4 linked regions of the Schizosaccharomyces pombe genome follow. The protein of the gene in region 1 interacts with the protein of each later gene in a biochemical or structural test. Each region holds a gene or a part of one and is shown in the gene's direction. Other genes may lie near its edges.

Evidence for each region.
Region 2: the proteins of act1 (region 1) and adf1 form a complex in vitro, tested with the Schizosaccharomyces pombe proteins (4 studies listed by BioGRID).
Region 3: the proteins of act1 (region 1) and cdc8 form a complex in vitro, tested with the Schizosaccharomyces pombe proteins (2 studies listed by BioGRID).
Region 4: the proteins of act1 (region 1) and myo2 form a complex in vitro, tested with the Schizosaccharomyces pombe proteins (one study listed by BioGRID).

What each region holds. Positions count from the first base shown.
Region 1 is NC_003423.3:1,474,985-1,479,404, reverse strand, and holds act1 (actin Act1), read left to right. Parts: upstream 1-2,071; 5' UTR 2,072-2,128; coding exon 2,129-3,256; 3' UTR 3,257-3,920; downstream 3,921-4,420. Other genes in the region: spore wall alpha-1,3-glucan synthase Mok12, read left to right, coding at 1-1,301. UniProt on the Schizosaccharomyces pombe protein: Actins are highly conserved proteins that are involved in various types of cell motility and are ubiquitously expressed in all eukaryotic cells.
Region 2 is NC_003424.3:4,824,667-4,828,083, reverse strand, and holds adf1 (cofilin), read left to right. Parts: upstream 1-1,957; 5' UTR 1,958-2,006; coding exon 2,007-2,009; intron 2,010-2,060; coding exon 2,061-2,166; intron 2,167-2,329; coding exon 2,330-2,634; 3' UTR 2,635-2,827; downstream 2,828-3,417. Other genes in the region: C-24(28) sterol reductase Erg4, read left to right, coding at 40-1,401. UniProt on the Schizosaccharomyces pombe protein: Controls reversibly actin polymerization and depolymerization in a pH-sensitive manner. It has the ability to bind G- and F-actin in a 1:1 ratio of cofilin to actin. Binding to F-actin is regulated by tropomyosin.
Region 3 is NC_003424.3:4,318,682-4,322,260, reverse strand, and holds cdc8 (tropomyosin), read left to right. Parts: upstream 1-2,025; 5' UTR 2,026-2,056; coding exon 2,057-2,074; exon of another isoform or gene 2,075-2,088; intron 2,089-2,133; coding exon 2,134-2,601; 3' UTR 2,602-3,014; downstream 3,015-3,579. Other genes in the region: protein Nuf2, read left to right, coding at 1-379; ubiquitin hydrolase Uch1, read left to right, coding at 786-1,454. UniProt on the Schizosaccharomyces pombe protein: Forms part of the F-actin contractile ring during cytokinesis.
Region 4 is NC_003421.2:1,232,731-1,240,312, reverse strand, and holds myo2 (myosin II heavy chain myo2), read left to right. Parts: upstream 1-2,076; 5' UTR 2,077-2,282; coding exon 2,283-6,863; 3' UTR 6,864-7,082; downstream 7,083-7,582. Other genes in the region: RhoGEF for Rho1, Rgf3, read left to right, coding at 1-928; Smc5-6 complex non-SMC MAGE family subunit Nse3, read right to left, coding at 7,142-7,582. UniProt on the Schizosaccharomyces pombe protein: Required for cell division. It is a component of the cdc12 'spot', a structure thought to mark the site of septation. May work in conjunction with myo3.

The sequences.
Region 1 (4,420 bases):
ATGAAGCTACTCGGTTACAAAAATTACTTCTTCACAGTATTGGTGGATGGCCTCTATATACGATTGTATTGGCAATTGGGCAAATTCTTGGAGCATCTTCTTATCAATTAACTTTACTTTCTGGAGAATCTGCGCAATCTACAGTGTCCATGTACATTCTGCTCTCTATTTTCTCATTCTTCTCTCTGTTTTGGTGGTTCTTATCCCGAGTGGTTCAAGCGAGATACATTTTATCTCTCCCTTTCTTCTTTTTTGGCATATCTTTCATTTTAGTTGCGATCACTCACTTTTTCCAGAAAACTACTGCTTGTTCGGTAATTCAACACATAGCGGCTTACGTTTATGCCATTTCAAGTTCTACTGGATCGCTGTATTTTGCATGGAATTTTGGTGCCGAAGGAGGTATCGCAACTCATCATTGGATTTTGAGGGCCTGTCTTGTACATGGGATTCAACAGATTTGGTCTGCAATCCTCTGGTCATGGGGAGATCTATTATCGAAGAAAGATTTGACTCAAAATGTGGGGCCTGGCATTTTTGCAGGGGGACTTATCGCCTCTTTCATTTGCTTCGGGCTTTCCTACGTAACATTCGCAGGTTTACCTGCTTTTTATCGCCAAGCTCCTTCTATCATTCCAGCGTTTTATCGTTCATTAGGAAAACGAAATATTGTAATTTGGTTTTTTATCTCTCAAATTTTAATCAATTACTGGCTTGCTGTCCCTTATGGCCAGGCTTGGAGGTTTTTCTGGAATACTAGCAACACTCCTTTGTGGAGCATAATCATTCTTTTACTCATTTTCTTCATCGTGGTTTGGGCCGTTCTCTTATCAGTTATAAAGATTTTGTCTCTTAATAACGTTTGGTTTCCAGTGATATTTGGATTGGGCCTCATTTGTCCACGCTGGTGCTTAGAGTTTTGGTCATCCTCGGGTCTCGGAATTAATTTACCATGGGCTGGTAAGGCTTCTGCCTTGCTGACGAAGTCAGTATGGCTTTTGCTAGCTCTATGGGACGGGATACAGGGAGTCGGTGTCGGTGTAATGTTACTGCAAACCCTGGCGAGAGATCATGTTGCTTTCACGTTGATGCTAGCGCAAGTTATAAGTTGTATTACAATTATGATCGCAAAACCTTCTCTGCCTGTAAGTGATCGAGTATTCCCAAATCTTGGTGCATGGAATCCTAGCGAAGGACCGGGACCTTGTGCATCACCTTGCTTTTATATTGCACTAATATGTCAATTTGTAGCTGTTGGAGGATTGCTCTATCACTATCGTAAAAGTCAGCTTGCTCTTTAGTGTTTGATCTACGATAATGAGACGGTGTTTGGGTTGTTTTTACTGAATTTTTCTTTTATTTTATGACATCTTAATTTTTATGTTAATGATTATTCTTATACTTTTATCTATCTTTGATTAAAACTAATATTCATTCTTTTGATCACTAATTATTTTTATAGTATACGATTCAACCCAACTATAATACATTGTATCAAGAGAAATTTTTAATTAGATGTAATTTAATAGCCATTTGATAAAAAAAAATTACCTTTTTTTTTGCTAGTGTTAAATTATTGATCATAACAATGTCGAATGAATACTAATAAAATAGGGACACGCGAGTTGCAAATACTTGAAATACCTTTGAAGATTTGTCTGTGAATTTTGATAAGATTTTTATGACCATCTCTTTTATATTCGATATCGTGAACTTTCATTTTCTTTTGTTTTTTGCTTTTCAAGTTAAATAACGCGGAAATTATATTTCCTTATATGTTTATAAGAGCTTTTAAAGGATTTGCTATATCGCTTACAGTACTACAACCGGTTGCTCAATGTTATCCGTTTCCGCGGTCTTCTTCCGTGCGCATTCTGCCGTGAAGTGCTAACGCTGTGTGTGGCTTTATCAAAAAAGTGGCTCAAATATAGCAATTTCATACATATTTAAACACCCATTATACTTAAATGTATATTTTAAAATATATAAGAGATTTTCACTGTATAACTGTGTATCTTATCTATATGTAATCAACGGCTTCATACCACCTCAGCCAGCCGTGTTATAACTTACCGTTTACCAACTACATTTTTTGTAACGAACCAAAAAACCCTCAAAAGACAAGACCATGGAAGAAGAAATCGCAGCGTTGGTTATTGATAATGGCTCTGGTATGTGCAAAGCCGGTTTCGCTGGAGATGATGCCCCTAGAGCTGTATTCCCCTCGATTGTCGGTAGACCCCGTCACCATGGTATTATGGTAGGTATGGGACAAAAGGATTCCTACGTTGGTGATGAAGCTCAAAGCAAGCGTGGTATTTTGACCTTGAAGTACCCCATTGAGCACGGTATTGTCAACAACTGGGATGATATGGAAAAGATTTGGCATCACACTTTCTACAACGAGCTTCGTGTTGCTCCTGAGGAGCACCCTTGCTTGTTGACTGAGGCTCCTTTGAACCCCAAATCCAACCGTGAGAAGATGACTCAAATTATTTTCGAAACCTTTAATGCACCTGCCTTTTATGTTGCTATTCAAGCTGTTTTGTCTTTGTATGCCTCTGGTCGTACCACTGGTATCGTCTTGGACTCTGGTGATGGTGTTACCCACACTGTTCCCATTTATGAGGGTTATGCTCTTCCTCATGCTATCATGCGTCTTGATCTCGCCGGTCGTGACTTGACTGACTACCTTATGAAGATTCTCATGGAGCGTGGTTATACTTTCTCTACTACCGCCGAACGTGAAATTGTTCGTGACATCAAGGAGAAACTTTGCTACGTCGCTTTGGACTTTGAGCAAGAACTTCAAACTGCTGCTCAATCTTCCTCCCTTGAGAAATCTTATGAGCTTCCTGATGGTCAAGTTATCACTATCGGAAACGAGCGTTTCCGTGCCCCTGAAGCTCTTTTCCAACCCTCAGCTTTGGGTCTTGAAAACGCCGGTATTCATGAGGCTACTTACAACTCTATCATGAAATGTGATGTTGATATTCGTAAAGATTTGTACGGTAACGTTGTTATGTCTGGTGGTACCACTATGTATCCCGGTATTGCCGATCGTATGCAAAAGGAGATTCAAGCCCTTGCTCCTAGCTCCATGAAGGTCAAGATTGTTGCTCCTCCTGAGCGTAAATACTCTGTCTGGATTGGTGGATCCATTCTTGCTTCTCTTTCTACTTTCCAACAGATGTGGATCTCCAAGCAAGAGTATGATGAGAGCGGACCTGGTATCGTTTACCGTAAGTGCTTCTAAGCTCCTCTTACTTTTTGTAACGTTTTTTACATACTTTTGAATAACATCGATTCTTCTGATATATATAAATTTCAATCTTTTTTTACCTATTTAACCACCTTTTTCCGCTCTTAACATCTCATGAGGAACTTTGGGTATCAATTATTGGAGTGTTTTATATACTTTCTGATTACTATCGTTTTCTTGCTCTGTTTTCTTTTTTTCATTATAGACGAATGCAGAGCTAGCCTTTTACATATTGAAGTTACAGAAATATTTCCAGTAGATACCTATGATGTTACTTCATTCGCTTATAACTTCCCGTTTTCTTTAACATGTTTCTTCTCGAGTCCGGCCGATTATTTTTGTCGATATTTTCGTTATGTTTATCGCTGTGATTATCGATTAAAGAACTGTAGTAAATGAATTTTACTTACTCCCGTTAATTTTTACGAATTTTATTTTGTACAAGGTGGTAACTGCGAGATAGTTAGAAGCGGAAGTGGTGCAATGTACTTCATCAGCCATTTCTTTTCGTCCTGTAGAGTTGTATCATCTTCAGTACTGATTTAATTGGTACCTGAACTTGTATAACTTTGAAGCCAAATGGTTGAATGTGTTTTACATTAGTATTAGCAAAAGTTTATTAGGTCAAAAAAAGATTTAATACATACATGGTATATGATCATTGTTGGATAGTATAGTTGAGGTAAAATTCTTATAAATTGTAAGACATTGGTATGATTAGTGTTCTTCAAATATAAAAAGAGAGGAAGTAGTGAATTATGAAGCTGTAGGAGATGGAGCCCGATTAGCCAGTTGTATAGTTGAGCGATTAATATATAGTGACAAAGTAATTTGGACTGACGACGCCTCTCTGTATAAACAAATCCAATGATATTACATTCCTATGACTTTATTTAGAATTGTTTCGTCAACATATATTATTACAAGAGATTATTATTTTTTTTTGTAGTATTATGATAATATTAAAACCATTGTTCAAAGAATAAGAGAAAAATGTTAACCATATTAAATAAAATAAGTTGCTGCTGAAACATGGAAAGAAAAGATCCATCGAAATTTGCAGAACATGTATGAAAAAGGATGGCCAAGACCCGGTGCCTGAACTCGTGACAGAGTATAGACGCATTAAAACGAACGTTAAATGATGTTGATGAAAAA
Region 2 (3,417 bases), on another chromosome or scaffold:
TTTTTATAGACACGTTGTGTGAAGTAGATAGAATTCGCGATGAAATCTACAGTAAAGAAATCAGCTCCTCGTGAGTTTGGCGGTGCCAAAGGTGCATTGGCAATTATGACAGGATTCCCTTGTCTAATGTATTACTTATGGGCATGCTCCAAATTTAATGATTCGCAGTTTATTAAACCAGAATCTTTTACGATAGCAGGATTTCAAAATTTTTTTAGAACGTTAGGCCATTATATCTACGTCGGTGCCTATCCAACACGGTATGCATTCTTGGTTTTTTGGTCGTTTTGTATAGTTCAGGCTGTCATGTACTTAACTCTTCCTGGTGTTCGGACGCAAGGTTTGCCTTTAAAGCATCGCAATAACGAACGTCTTCCTTACTTATGCAATGCTATCTGGTCTTTTTACACGACAATTGTTATTCTTGCCGTTCTTCACGTGACCCACGTATTTCCAATTACTACATTTATCGACATGTTCGGTCCTTTGATGAGCGTTGCAATAATAACCGCTTTTGTCTGTACCTTTGTTTTGTACACTGGAACTTTGCTTTTTGGTGATCGACTTTTTGATAAACCTCATCGGTTATCTGGAAATCCCATCTACGATGCCTTTATGGGAGCTTGCTTGAATCCTCGCCTTGGCAAATTGCTTGATTTTAAAATGTTCTTTGAAGTTCGTATCCCTTGGTTTATCCTATTCTTTATTTCCGTTGGTGCTGCTGTTCGTCAATATGAAACTTATGGCACTGTAAGTCCTCAGGTACTTTTCGTTTGTCTTGGCCATTATTTGTATGCAAACGCGTGCTCGAAGGGAGAGCAGTTGATTGTTCCAACTTGGGACATGGCTTATGAAAAGTTTGGTTTTATGCTTATCTTTTGGAACATGGCTGGGGTCCCATTTACTTATTCACACTGCACCCTTTACCTTTTTTCGCATGATCCATCTGTTTACAACTGGTCAACTCAATATACAACCGGTATTTATGTTTTGCTTCTTTGCTGTTATTATATATTTGATACTTGCAATGGTCAAAAAAATCATTTCCGTAATCAAATTTATGGTACTGAGGTTCATCGCAAAACATTTCCCCAACTTCCCTGGCTTATCATCAAGAACCCTACCTTTATTCGTTGTGCAAATGGCGGTACTTTGTTGACTTCAGGTTGGTATAGGTACGCTCGTAAAATTCATTATACTGCTGATTTCTTTCAATCATTGTCATGGGCATTGATCACCGGTTTTCAGTCCCCTCTACCTTACTTTTACCCATGCTTTTTCTTTGTAGTCCTTGTGCATCGTGTTTCACGTGATATTAAAAAGTGCAAAGCTAAGTATGGGGCTGATTTCGATGAGTATTGCCGTATATGCCCTTACTTATTTATTCCCTATATATTTTAGAAATGTCTTTTTAGTCCCTTCTTTACTTAATAAATTGGCTATTCAAAATTCCACTTGAAGTGTTTTTCTACTTTAAAATTCAGTTAATTTTTGTGAAAGTTCTCAAATTTGATTGAGTAGCTGGAACATTCCTTAAGTTATGAACGAACAAAGTAAGCAGCTCTGACCGTTTTTTATACAATCTATTTCTAGACTTAAAAATTATTAACTTCCAAGTCTTTTTGCATAAAGATTTTTGGAAATAGCGTAAGGAATAGCTAATAAATAGTAACAATCATCTTGTTTCTTCATAGCGATCCATTTACAGTTAAATTTTTTTTTGCATTAGTTCACTCACTTGCTAGATATATAAATTAGTGTGGAATATTTAGGCGGTAGTGCATACGCATAACCATTTGCTATTATTTTTTTGTAGAACTGTATGTTTTTTCGCTTATATTTAATAAGGGTCATGCAACATAATAATAAGAAATTATAGACTCTGCTTGTTTAGAGTAGTGCGCCACCCTTACTTGGGGCGACGGTATCTACTGATGCGAGTAGCCCTCCCCTAACCAAACCAGTGCCAACCACACTAGCTTACCCGCTATCAGTAAATAAATAATATGGTATGAAATATTTTTGTTAACTTTACATCGTGTTTATTTAACATACATTAGTCTTTTTCAGGTGTCAAAGTCTCTCCCGAATGCTTGGAAGCTTTCCAAGAGCTCAAGCTTGGAAAGTCACTCCGTTACGTAGTTTTCAAAATGAACGATACCAAGAGTAAGTGACGAAAACGATTTAGATGGAATTTGAGAAAGTCCAATATCCCTTTTTTTAAAAATAAATTTATTTATCTACATTGATATATATTTTATGTTTGTAATGTCTTTCTATGTCGTTTTTATAATTATGTGGAACCTTTCACTAATTTTTTTTTGTTTAGCTGAAATTGTTGTTGAAAAGAAGAGTACGGATAAGGACTTCGATACTTTCCTTGGTGACTTGCCTGAAAAGGATTGCCGTTATGCTATCTATGATTTTGAGTTCAATCTCGGAGAAGGTGTTCGTAACAAGATTATCTTTATTAGCTGGTCTCCTGATGTTGCTCCCATTAAATCTAAGATGGTTTACTCTTCTTCTAAAGATACTTTACGTCGCGCTTTTACTGGAATCGGTACTGACATCCAAGCAACTGATTTCTCCGAAGTTGCTTATGAGACAGTTCTTGAGAAGGTTACTCGTAAGTAAAACACTTTTGGTTACGATTTCTTGACTCATGCGTAATACGAAATGAAATTAAATAACTTCGTTTCGGTATGCAAACCGATCCTTCAACGCTCCTTAAATATCTTTTTCTATATATTTAGAACTATAAATACAAAGATTTAAGTGTACGTTGGTTTCCTGTTGATATTTAATTTGTCAATAGTATATCTACTTTAAAAAATTTGTCATGTGATAACGGATGAGTCGGTATATGAAAAACACTGCAAGTTATTTGCCAATGTAATTGACAAGCAATCATAGAGAAATTAGTTCTACGCAGTTTCCACCACTAGCTGAAATGTTTGAGTGCCTGGGTGCTTGCAGGTTTTTATTCATCTACTTCAAGTATGGTATAGTAAGTAAGCTTAGTTTTATTTTCTCAGTTCCGACTTTTTAATTCTGTAGATTTCATCTACCACTATTTAGTCATTGAAATTGTTACAAATATTCCTCTATATATAATGATTCTGCATTCCTAAAAATGCTAATTAACAAATTACGAAATCCAACGATCTACAAAGTAATGCCATTCCATATTAATATAACAATTGCTGTTCATTCGCTATCATTTTAAAATGATGTTTTCATTAGTTTGCTCATTGATCACATAGCATGTATTTTACCAGCTATTTTCAACGTACTAGTCTACTTGATCTGTTATTGATCAAATGTAAGTGAATTGCTGCTTTTATTGTTATTATAATCAATAAAGTAAGCAAATTTACACTGGGGCACAATCAAACATTGGTATGCAAAGAACATTAA
Region 3 (3,579 bases), on another chromosome or scaffold:
AGAGCTTTGCGATCAAATAGAAATAAACAAAAAAAAACTTGAGTTCAGAAAAGAACAACTTTTAAAGCAATTATCTAATGCTCAAGAAAAACTCGAGCATGAACAACATTCTCGAAATCAAAAACTTGAGGCTGCCAAACAACGAATGGACAACATACGGGAAGAATACAAAGTAATTACCCAAGAAAGGAATAAAAAGATTCAGGAGACTGAAAAGAAAAATGCCATGATAGAGATGACCGAACAAAAAATTGCTGGAATGCGAGAAGAACTGGAGTCTCAAATATCCTCTATAACTATGGAATTCGAAAAATTGAAATCGCACGTGGAGCTTTATATTGCTGAACTTCTCAGAAACTTAAGGTCTTCTAACTCTTAGTATCTTCATTTTGAAAAATCTTTATTCGTGCAAATATTTCAACACTACCTATAAGAACGTTGGTTGGACTTCGAAGCCAGAATTTTAGATTTTACAGTAAATGTATATAGGTAAATCTTGGTAATTATTAATATTTTATGACTCTATTTATAATATACCTATGGAACAATCCCTATTTTTACAGTCATCTTCATAGCTGAACGTGACAGGATATTGAAGTATAGGATACTGATTATAGTAAAGCTTTTTTGTAGATTCCCAAAATTGGCAATCTAAAGATATTCGATTAACTTTGTCAAACTTTGGTGTTTTGCCTCTTTGCTGACTTCTGAGACCTCTGCCACGCCTTCCAAACCTGATCAAAAAAGCCTCAATTAGAGCCATTTATCATTCGAGAAAAATTACAATGTGGAGGCCTTTAGAAAATACACCAGAGGTGCTGGAACCTTACTTACAAAAAATCGGTGTACAAGATGCTAGCGTTTTTGACCTGTTTTCATTAGAGGAAATCCCCGAATATATCCCTCGTCCTGTCCATGCTCTTTTATTCGTTTTTCCATCCTCAGGAACAAAAACTATATATAAAGGATCACGAATTTTACCAAAGGATAGTGACAAAGTCTTGTGGTACCCTCAAACAATTCCAAATGCTTGCGGAACGATTGGATTGCTACATGCGGTTTCGAATGGAGAACTTAGAAGAAAAGTCAATGAAAATGATTTTATTAAAAGTCTAATCAGAACTGCTGAAGGTTCATCTATCGAAGAAAGGGCTAAGCTTATCGAGGATTCGAAAGAACTTGAAGCTTTACATGCAGCATTTGCTGGTCCACCTTTGGAAGTAGAGGGGTCTGAGGAAGATGTAGAAACTGATCTTCATTTTATCTGTTTTGTAAAGGGAAAATCAAAGGACGACAATCATTTTTATGAGCTAGACGGCCGCCAAGAGGGGCCCGTGCAACATTCTGAAATTGAAAGTGATTTACTGAATGCCGAAGTACTTTCAGTTATTAAAAATTATATTCAGAGTATTGATTCTCCTTTCTTTTCTCTTGTCGCAATTACGACTCCGTAACCTATGTAAGCTAAATGTTGTGAAACTTAATGAAATGATTACTTTGGCAATTGGAAGTATGATAATAGCCATTTAAAATATTGCTTCTTAAATACCTGTTTCCAACTAATTCCTAGTCTGTATGTGTGTAAATATGAAATTAACAAGCGGACCTCTTTATAATTGTATAACTAAATGATTAAATATTATTGATATATGCCATTTTTCTTTAGCAGTAGAGAGCTCTTAAAATTTCAGTCATAAATACAAAAATCAGGCATTGTTTAAATCACTTCATTCCAAACTTGAAAATCTATTGCAGGAACACTTCGATTATAATTTACAAATGTTTGACTACTGTTTTTAACTTTGCTCTTTTAACGCTTATTTCTTTGATGAAATTAACAATCTGGTGTGTTGTAAGCAAAGCCTCAACTTCTTTGTTCTTTGATGAACAAAGCGCTTTACTGTAGAGCTTGTGTGTATTTCTTTGTAATAAATTAGTAAATAGAACTTTCTTGTACCGTCAATTAATTCACCACCCTTACCGTGGTATATGCATGTCAAACACACCCATCGGTATCTTCCCTCCACCATCAAGGAAAGAAGGAAACAGTAGGAAAATGGATAAGCTTAGAGAGGTATGAGATGATAGCTTTTCATTGGAAAATCAAGTTGCTAATATTTGCTTTTTATTTAGAAAATTAATGCCGCTCGTGCTGAGACTGATGAGGCTGTCGCTCGTGCTGAAGCAGCTGAAGCCAAGTTGAAAGAAGTTGAACTTCAACTTTCTCTTAAAGAGCAAGAATATGAGTCTCTTTCGAGGAAAAGCGAAGCCGCCGAGTCTCAACTCGAAGAGTTAGAAGAAGAAACTAAGCAGTTACGTCTCAAAGCCGACAATGAAGATATTCAAAAGACGGAAGCCGAGCAGTTGAGCCGTAAAGTTGAGCTTTTAGAGGAAGAACTAGAAACTAATGACAAGCTACTTCGCGAAACCACCGAAAAGATGCGTCAAACTGATGTTAAGGCTGAGCATTTTGAACGTCGCGTCCAATCTCTAGAGCGTGAGCGTGATGATATGGAACAGAAACTAGAAGAAATGACTGACAAGTATACTAAGGTCAAGGCTGAATTAGATGAAGTTCACCAAGCTCTTGAGGATTTGTAGATAGCGAAAAGCTTGACGAACATAGAAGAAACATACCACCTTTTTTATATCTTCTATTTGCTGTCATTCTTTTTCTTTCTTACTTTGTCAACTAGCTAAGTTCGACCTCACTTTTTATGGTTTATATTTAGCGAAAAATGATTTGATTTTGGTATGGAACACTGTTTTCTTTCTTTAGTCAACTTACTGGTGTTACCTTTTTACGAGAATCAGTATTTATGATATCAAATGTCTGAGTATTGTAAATTGAGAAGAAATGTGCCCTTATCTTCCCGATTCCCACCACTTTCCCTTCTAACTTAAATAACATTTTGTAAGCATAACTGTCTTAATGTTATCTGAATGATAAGCTTTTATTTTTTTTCGAATGCCAACTCTTTAATAAAGACTTCTATATGATAAATACCGTCTTTATCTTTCCTTTTTTTTACGATGTAAATATTGAAGTTTGCTAGGCTGAAATCGGTATTTTGTAAGTTGTTTATACACGTCTACCTTAAAGTAATTCGTGCAAACGAGTGGTCGTGCTTTTGTTAGGGGATCATTATAGTTAGGTTTGTCTTACTTTATTGTATGAATGACATTCATCTTCAGCGCGGGTTTTTTAAAATCAATCTATTTTGCAGAATCACAATACCTGTTAAACTCACATTTTCTATGAATTTACCTATTTGTTAAATTGCCTTTTATTTTATTTTATTATTTTTTTTTTGGAAATCCGATATCCGTACACGTTGAAGAGCATTGTTAGGCATCGTAAGCATAATCAAAGTTGAATCAACTAAAAACATAAGATGTTAACGTAAATAAAAAGAATATCTTAATGTATTGACATGTATTGCCATTTACATGTTCTACTTGATATAAATTTACATAAACCTTTATCGGAATAACGAGGTACAGGGTTTGCGTTAATGTGCTACTTTGGTTAATGTAGACTTACCGTCGGCTTGTCAACTACCAAAGAGCAAAGAAGGC
Region 4 (7,582 bases), on another chromosome or scaffold:
TCGCGATTGGAAAAAGATCTCTAGTCAAAGACGCGTTACCCAGCTTGGAGTTGTTGAGGAATTTGATATCCTATTAGAGCTACGTGACAAAACCCTTTATGCTCATAAATTAAGTCGTATTATTGAAATGGGTCTGATCGAATCCAAAATTGCAGTTGTCATTGGAACTCCGCATGCCGTATCATTCTTTAAAATAGGTAAATTGTCTGAGGGGGCTTCTGTTAAACGTGAGCGAACTTTGGTTTTTTATAAAGAGGGACTCGGTAATACTACAACCATAATTTGCTGTGAACCAGTGATCGGCTTAGGACATAACTATCAGAAAACATATGCCTTCAAGAGAAAAGATGTTACTTCCTTCAGAACTCTGGATGATTTTCACGTAACGGCTAACTGTCATTCAATTGATTGCTTTAAGTATTCAATTGCTCTTTGTCACAATAAAGGCATTGACGTTCTGCGTTTGGACCCTAAATTAGCAGTTGGTTTTCCAAGCCCTTCAGTGCTTAATGATACGTTGTTTCGGAACCGAATCAACAACAGTAAGCCGCTTGGCGTCTTTCGCATCCACGATCCTAGCTTATTTGCATGCTGCTATCAATTCGGTGCCGTGTTTGTCAATGGAGAGGGTAGTATGGTTAATAAAGAGTGTTGGTTTGATTGGATTGGCAAACCGAACTCTGTTACCAGCTGTCATGGATATCTCATTGCATTTAATGATGAATTTGTCGAAATATGGAACACGCGAACTAGGAAACTTAATCAAATTATCCAAGGAAATGACATTAAATACTACCCTAGTAACAGTGATTGGCTAGCCAATGGGAAATATATAATGTTTGGCATGGTTCATCCTCAGTATCACGATCGCCATTTGATACTCGCTTTAAATAAGGCAAAAACAAACTCCTTCATAATTGAAGATTGATAATTATCATATTTATTACAAGTTTTCTTGCCATGATTGTCTTTTTTACTCATCCATACTTTTGAATATCGGAAACGTTTATCTTATTTTGTTTTACGGAACATCCTGCATCTTTCGAATCATATTTTATCGCAGCCTTGAAATTTTATTTCTTCTTTTTTTTTTTTTTTACATTTCCCTACCCATTTTATCACAAAGGAATATTAAAATCTGCATGCATTAACATTTTTTAATTACTTAAAATGATCGCTACTATCATTATGTTCAGTGTTAAGCCAAAATTGGCTTATTGTACAAGTTGCATAAACTTGCCGACTACAGTTGATGAAAACAGAGAACATTGTTGTTTTTTTACGTAACTGGTTATGGTATTCTGCATGTTTTGATCATAAGTTTAAAGATGTGGTTACACATTGAAGCACCATGCTTTCTTTCAAACACTAACTGAAGCAACTAACATTTCTGTATATTTACTTATTGATTATTACCAGGGCCATAGCTGTAGATGGTCAGTAAGCACATAATAATTACTGATTGCGATTATTAGCTAGAGCGTGTTCTTATAATTATTCAGTAAGAGGCATGATTAGAGTGCTATATATAAAATGTAGATAAATAAATGCCGAGTTTAGTTATTTGCTTTAAAAGTTGTGTTCGGTACGATGAGGAACATATTATTTGCGTATCTAGTCACAAATTACTCATATATCTGTAATAGCGGGAGTTTTTTATACAATCATTTTACCTAAAAGCACGGGGGAACATGAAATTTCGATTAAACCGTAACCCCTAATCCTACGTTCATTTGATGTTTTGAGTATTAGTACAATGTATTTTCAATTATTACTTAATATCTTCAATCTTGATGAAAGTAAAGCTTTAAAAATTTGTCAGGACTTTAATTGCAAAAGACCGAGTATATAATGACCTCCATCTATTAATATTATTTCTTTTAAAAGATATATATACCTTCTTAATTGTGATATTAAAATCATTATGTTATAGGAATGTTTCTGGATGCTACCTTAACCTATACTAAATGTTTTAACGCAAATATGATCAAGTACATAAACGTTCGATTAACGCATGCGTTAATCGAATGTTCAAGTGCTTAAATCATTAATTGCTGTGCGTTCAACGGGGAGTACAAAAAGTATCCAACAACATAGTTCTTTAACGTTTTCTCTGTGCATTTGTTGATCCTTCTTTTCGGATATATCTATTGCTATCTTTTTGGATTTTTTCACTCTTTGATTTTTGGTCTATCCTTATTGTTTTACAAGGTTTTGGTATTGTACACCGCATTGTTTATTTTCAGGAAAGGCGGTAAATAACCGTCTTAGAGAGTAGCCCGATGACAGAAGTAATATCTAATAAAATAACTGCAAAAGATGGTGCAACTAGTCTGAAGGATATTGATGATAAACGATGGGTTTGGATTTCCGACCCAGAGACTGCCTTTACCAAGGCTTGGATTAAAGAGGATCTGCCAGACAAGAAATATGTTGTTCGGTATAATAATTCCAGGGATGAGAAGATCGTTGGTGAGGATGAAATTGATCCGGTGAATCCTGCCAAGTTTGATAGAGTCAATGACATGGCTGAGTTGACATACTTAAACGAGCCTGCAGTCACATACAATCTTGAACAGAGATATCTCTCTGATCAAATTTATACCTATTCTGGGCTCTTTCTCGTTGCGGTCAATCCTTATTGTGGACTACCAATCTATACGAAGGACATCATTCAATTGTACAAAGATAAAACACAAGAGCGCAAGCTACCTCATGTCTTCGCAATCGCGGATTTAGCATACAATAACCTTTTAGAAAATAAGGAAAATCAATCGATTCTTGTAACTGGTGAGTCCGGCGCAGGTAAAACAGAGAATACCAAAAGAATCATCCAATATCTTGCAGCAATTGCTAGCTCGACTACCGTTGGCTCTAGTCAGGTTGAAGAGCAGATCATTAAAACGAATCCTGTGCTCGAATCATTTGGTAATGCTCGTACCGTACGCAACAACAATTCTTCTCGTTTTGGAAAATTCATTAAAGTTGAGTTTTCTTTGAGTGGGGAAATTTCGAATGCCGCCATAGAATGGTATCTTCTTGAAAAATCTCGCGTTGTTCATCAGAACGAGTTTGAAAGAAACTACCATGTTTTTTATCAGCTTTTAAGTGGTGCTGATACTGCTCTCAAGAACAAACTTCTTTTAACCGATAACTGTAATGATTATCGATATTTGAAGGATTCGGTTCACATTATTGATGGAGTTGACGATAAAGAAGAGTTTAAAACTCTTTTAGCTGCTTTTAAAACTCTTGGATTTGACGATAAAGAGAACTTTGATTTATTTAATATACTTTCCATTATTCTACATATGGGAAATATTGATGTCGGTGCTGATCGCTCTGGTATAGCTCGTCTTCTCAATCCTGATGAGATTGACAAGCTCTGTCATTTGCTTGGTGTGTCTCCGGAGTTATTTTCACAAAATCTTGTTCGACCTCGTATTAAAGCAGGCCATGAATGGGTTATCAGCGCTCGAAGTCAAACTCAAGTCATTTCGTCCATTGAAGCATTAGCAAAAGCCATATACGAAAGGAATTTTGGATGGCTGGTAAAGCGACTTAACACTTCCTTGAACCATTCCAATGCCCAAAGCTACTTTATTGGTATTTTAGATATCGCCGGTTTCGAAATCTTTGAGAAAAACAGTTTTGAACAACTTTGCATTAATTACACAAATGAAAAGTTGCAACAATTCTTTAACCATCACATGTTCGTATTGGAGCAAGAAGAATATATGAAAGAAGAAATTGTATGGGATTTCATTGATTTTGGACATGATTTACAGCCGACTATTGATTTAATCGAGAAAGCAAACCCAATAGGTATTCTTTCATGTTTGGATGAAGAATGTGTTATGCCGAAAGCAACTGATGCTACGTTTACTTCTAAACTTGATGCTCTTTGGAGGAACAAGTCGCTAAAATATAAACCTTTTAAGTTTGCCGATCAAGGTTTTATTTTGACTCATTATGCCGCTGATGTTCCTTACAGTACAGAAGGTTGGCTGGAGAAGAACACCGATCCTTTGAATGAAAACGTTGCTAAGTTGCTTGCGCAATCTACTAACAAGCATGTCGCTACACTATTTTCTGATTATCAGGAAACTGAGACTAAAACTGTTAGGGGAAGGACGAAAAAGGGCCTTTTTCGAACTGTTGCTCAAAGGCATAAAGAGCAGCTCAATCAGCTTATGAATCAATTTAACTCGACCCAACCTCACTTTATTCGTTGTATTGTTCCAAACGAAGAAAAGAAAATGCACACCTTTAATAGACCCCTCGTTTTAGGACAACTTCGATGTAATGGTGTTTTGGAAGGAATCAGAATCACAAGGGCTGGTTTTCCTAACCGTTTACCATTTAATGATTTTAGAGTCAGATATGAGATAATGGCGCATTTACCAACAGGTACCTATGTGGAATCTCGACGTGCTTCTGTCATGATTTTGGAGGAGTTGAAAATTGACGAAGCATCTTATCGAATTGGTGTTTCAAAAATATTTTTCAAAGCAGGTGTTTTAGCAGAATTAGAGGAGAGGCGCGTAGCGACTTTACAAAGACTGATGACTATGCTACAAACAAGGATCCGTGGCTTTCTTCAAAGAAAAATTTTTCAAAAGCGATTGAAGGACATACAAGCCATCAAATTACTACAAGCAAATTTGCAAGTGTACAATGAATTTAGAACTTTTCCTTGGGCTAAGTTATTTTTCAATCTAAGGCCCTTATTAAGTAGTACTCAAAATGATAAGCAGCTTAAAAAGCGAGATGCTGAAATCATAGAGCTGAAGTACGAGCTGAAAAAACAACAGAATTCAAAATCTGAGGTAGAGCGTGATCTCGTCGAGACCAACAATTCTTTAACTGCTGTTGAAAATTTGCTTACTACTGAACGTGCGATAGCCCTTGATAAGGAGGAAATATTACGTCGAACACAGGAAAGGCTTGCAAACATAGAAGATTCGTTTAGCGAAACAAAACAGCAAAATGAAAATTTGCAACGAGAGTCAGCGTCATTGAAACAGATTAATAACGAATTAGAAAGTGAGTTACTAGAAAAAACTTCCAAGGTTGAGACTTTGTTATCAGAACAGAACGAACTGAAAGAAAAACTGAGTTTGGAAGAGAAGGATTTGCTAGATACAAAGGGAGAACTTGAGTCTTTACGTGAGAACAATGCAACTGTTTTATCAGAAAAAGCAGAGTTCAATGAACAATGTAAAAGTTTACAGGAAACTATCGTTACCAAGGATGCTGAACTTGATAAACTCACTAAATATATTTCTGACTATAAAACTGAAATTCAAGAAATGAGACTGACAAATCAGAAGATGAATGAAAAGAGTATTCAGCAGGAAGGTTCTTTATCTGAGAGTCTCAAACGAGTCAAAAAATTAGAACGTGAAAATTCTACTCTTATAAGCGACGTCTCTATTTTAAAACAGCAGAAAGAAGAGTTAAGCGTCTTGAAAGGAGTGCAAGAGTTAACAATAAATAACTTAGAAGAGAAGGTTAATTATTTGGAAGCCGATGTCAAACAGCTTCCGAAATTGAAGAAAGAACTAGAATCCTTGAATGACAAAGATCAACTTTATCAGCTCCAGGCTACCAAAAATAAAGAACTGGAAGCCAAAGTTAAAGAATGTTTAAATAACATCAAATCGTTAACGAAAGAGCTTGAAAATAAGGAAGAGAAATGCCAAAATTTGTCAGATGCTTCTTTAAAGTACATTGAATTGCAAGAAATCCATGAGAATTTACTTCTTAAAGTTAGCGACTTGGAGAATTACAAGAAAAAATATGAAGGACTTCAGCTGGACTTGGAGGGGTTAAAAGACGTCGATACAAACTTTCAGGAACTTTCGAAAAAACATCGTGATTTGACCTTTAATCATGAAAGTCTTCTTCGGCAATCGGCGTCCTACAAGGAAAAGCTTTCGTTGGCGAGCTCCGAGAATAAAGATCTCTCTAATAAGGTATCGAGTTTGACGAAGCAAGTAAATGAACTTTCTCCAAAAGCATCTAAGGTTCCCGAACTTGAGAGGAAGATTACTAACTTAATGCACGAGTACAGTCAACTCGGTAAGACCTTTGAAGATGAAAAGCGTAAAGCATTGATAGCTAGTCGAGATAACGAAGAATTACGCTCTTTGAAATCAGAGTTGGAGAGTAAACGAAAGCTTGAAGTTGAGTATCAAAAGGTACTAGAAGAAGTAAAAACAACTAGAAGCCTCCGTTCGGAAGTCACCCTTTTAAGGAACAAAGTTGCTGATCATGAAAGTATACGTAGTAAGCTTTCAGAAGTAGAAATGAAGCTGGTTGATACTCGAAAGGAACTGAATTCTGCTCTTGATTCCTGCAAGAAGCGAGAGGCAGAGATACATCGCCTTAAAGAACATAGACCGTCCGGAAAGGAGAATAATATACCGGCTGTCAAAACTACGGAACCCGTTTTGAAAAATATTCCACAACGAAAGACAATTTTTGATTTACAGCAAAGAAATGCAAATCAAGCGTTATACGAGAACTTGAAACGAGACTACGACCGTCTTAATCTTGAGAAGCACAACTTAGAGAAGCAAGTTAATGAGTTAAAAGGGGCCGAAGTATCACCTCAACCTACTGGCCAATCTTTGCAACATGTCAACTTGGCTCATGCTATTGAATTGAAAGCTCTGAAGGATCAAATAAATAGCGAAAAGGCAAAAATGTTTTCCGTTCAAGTACAATATGAAAAACGTGAGCAGGAGTTACAAAAACGAATTGCTTCTTTGGAAAAAGTGAACAAAGATTCGTTAATAGATGTGAGAGCTTTACGAGATCGCATTGCAAGCCTTGAAGATGAGTTGCGCGCCGCATGAAGTTAAATGATTTTGTAATGATGAAACCTTTATTAATTATATTATATATACTGACATATACTTCTCTTATAAGTTTACGAGCTATTTTTTTATTTTTTTTATTTAACAGCTGTACATAATATTCCCGCTATATAACCAAATATACATCTTAAATTTATATCGAGATATTAGCACGCATATAGGAACTTAAATAATATTACGAATTTTTTTGTAGTAGCGGAGTAAGTATACAATAGCATTAACATGAGACGAGCATAATGTAAAAACCTAAGAGTCATCTATGCTGCACTTGAGGAAGATTGATTCTGATACTCCTGCCGATATTCGGTTAATAGAGCATCCATATCAATGTCTGAATCCGGAAAGAACTCTGTAACGAATGATTTCAAGCCTTCAATAGAAATTTCAGTTACTGCACGGGATCCAATATAATAAACAAACTGGTTATGGGTATCATCTTTCACTCTATCTAAATACCCTTGGCGAACTAAAAGAGATAACGAGCGAGTAATATCCAGATGCAAAGGGGTTGTTTCTTCCTCTGTTAGAAGTTCCTGCAAAAAAGATTGCAGTTCTGAATGTCCTACACTGCAATGAGAAACGGCTATGAATGCGATCACAGTCATCAAAAATCCATAATAAGCAGTATCCAATACCGAATCTACAATTAAGCGAGAATCCTTTTGAAGTTCCATAGGAAGGGTAGACCTCAACACCCA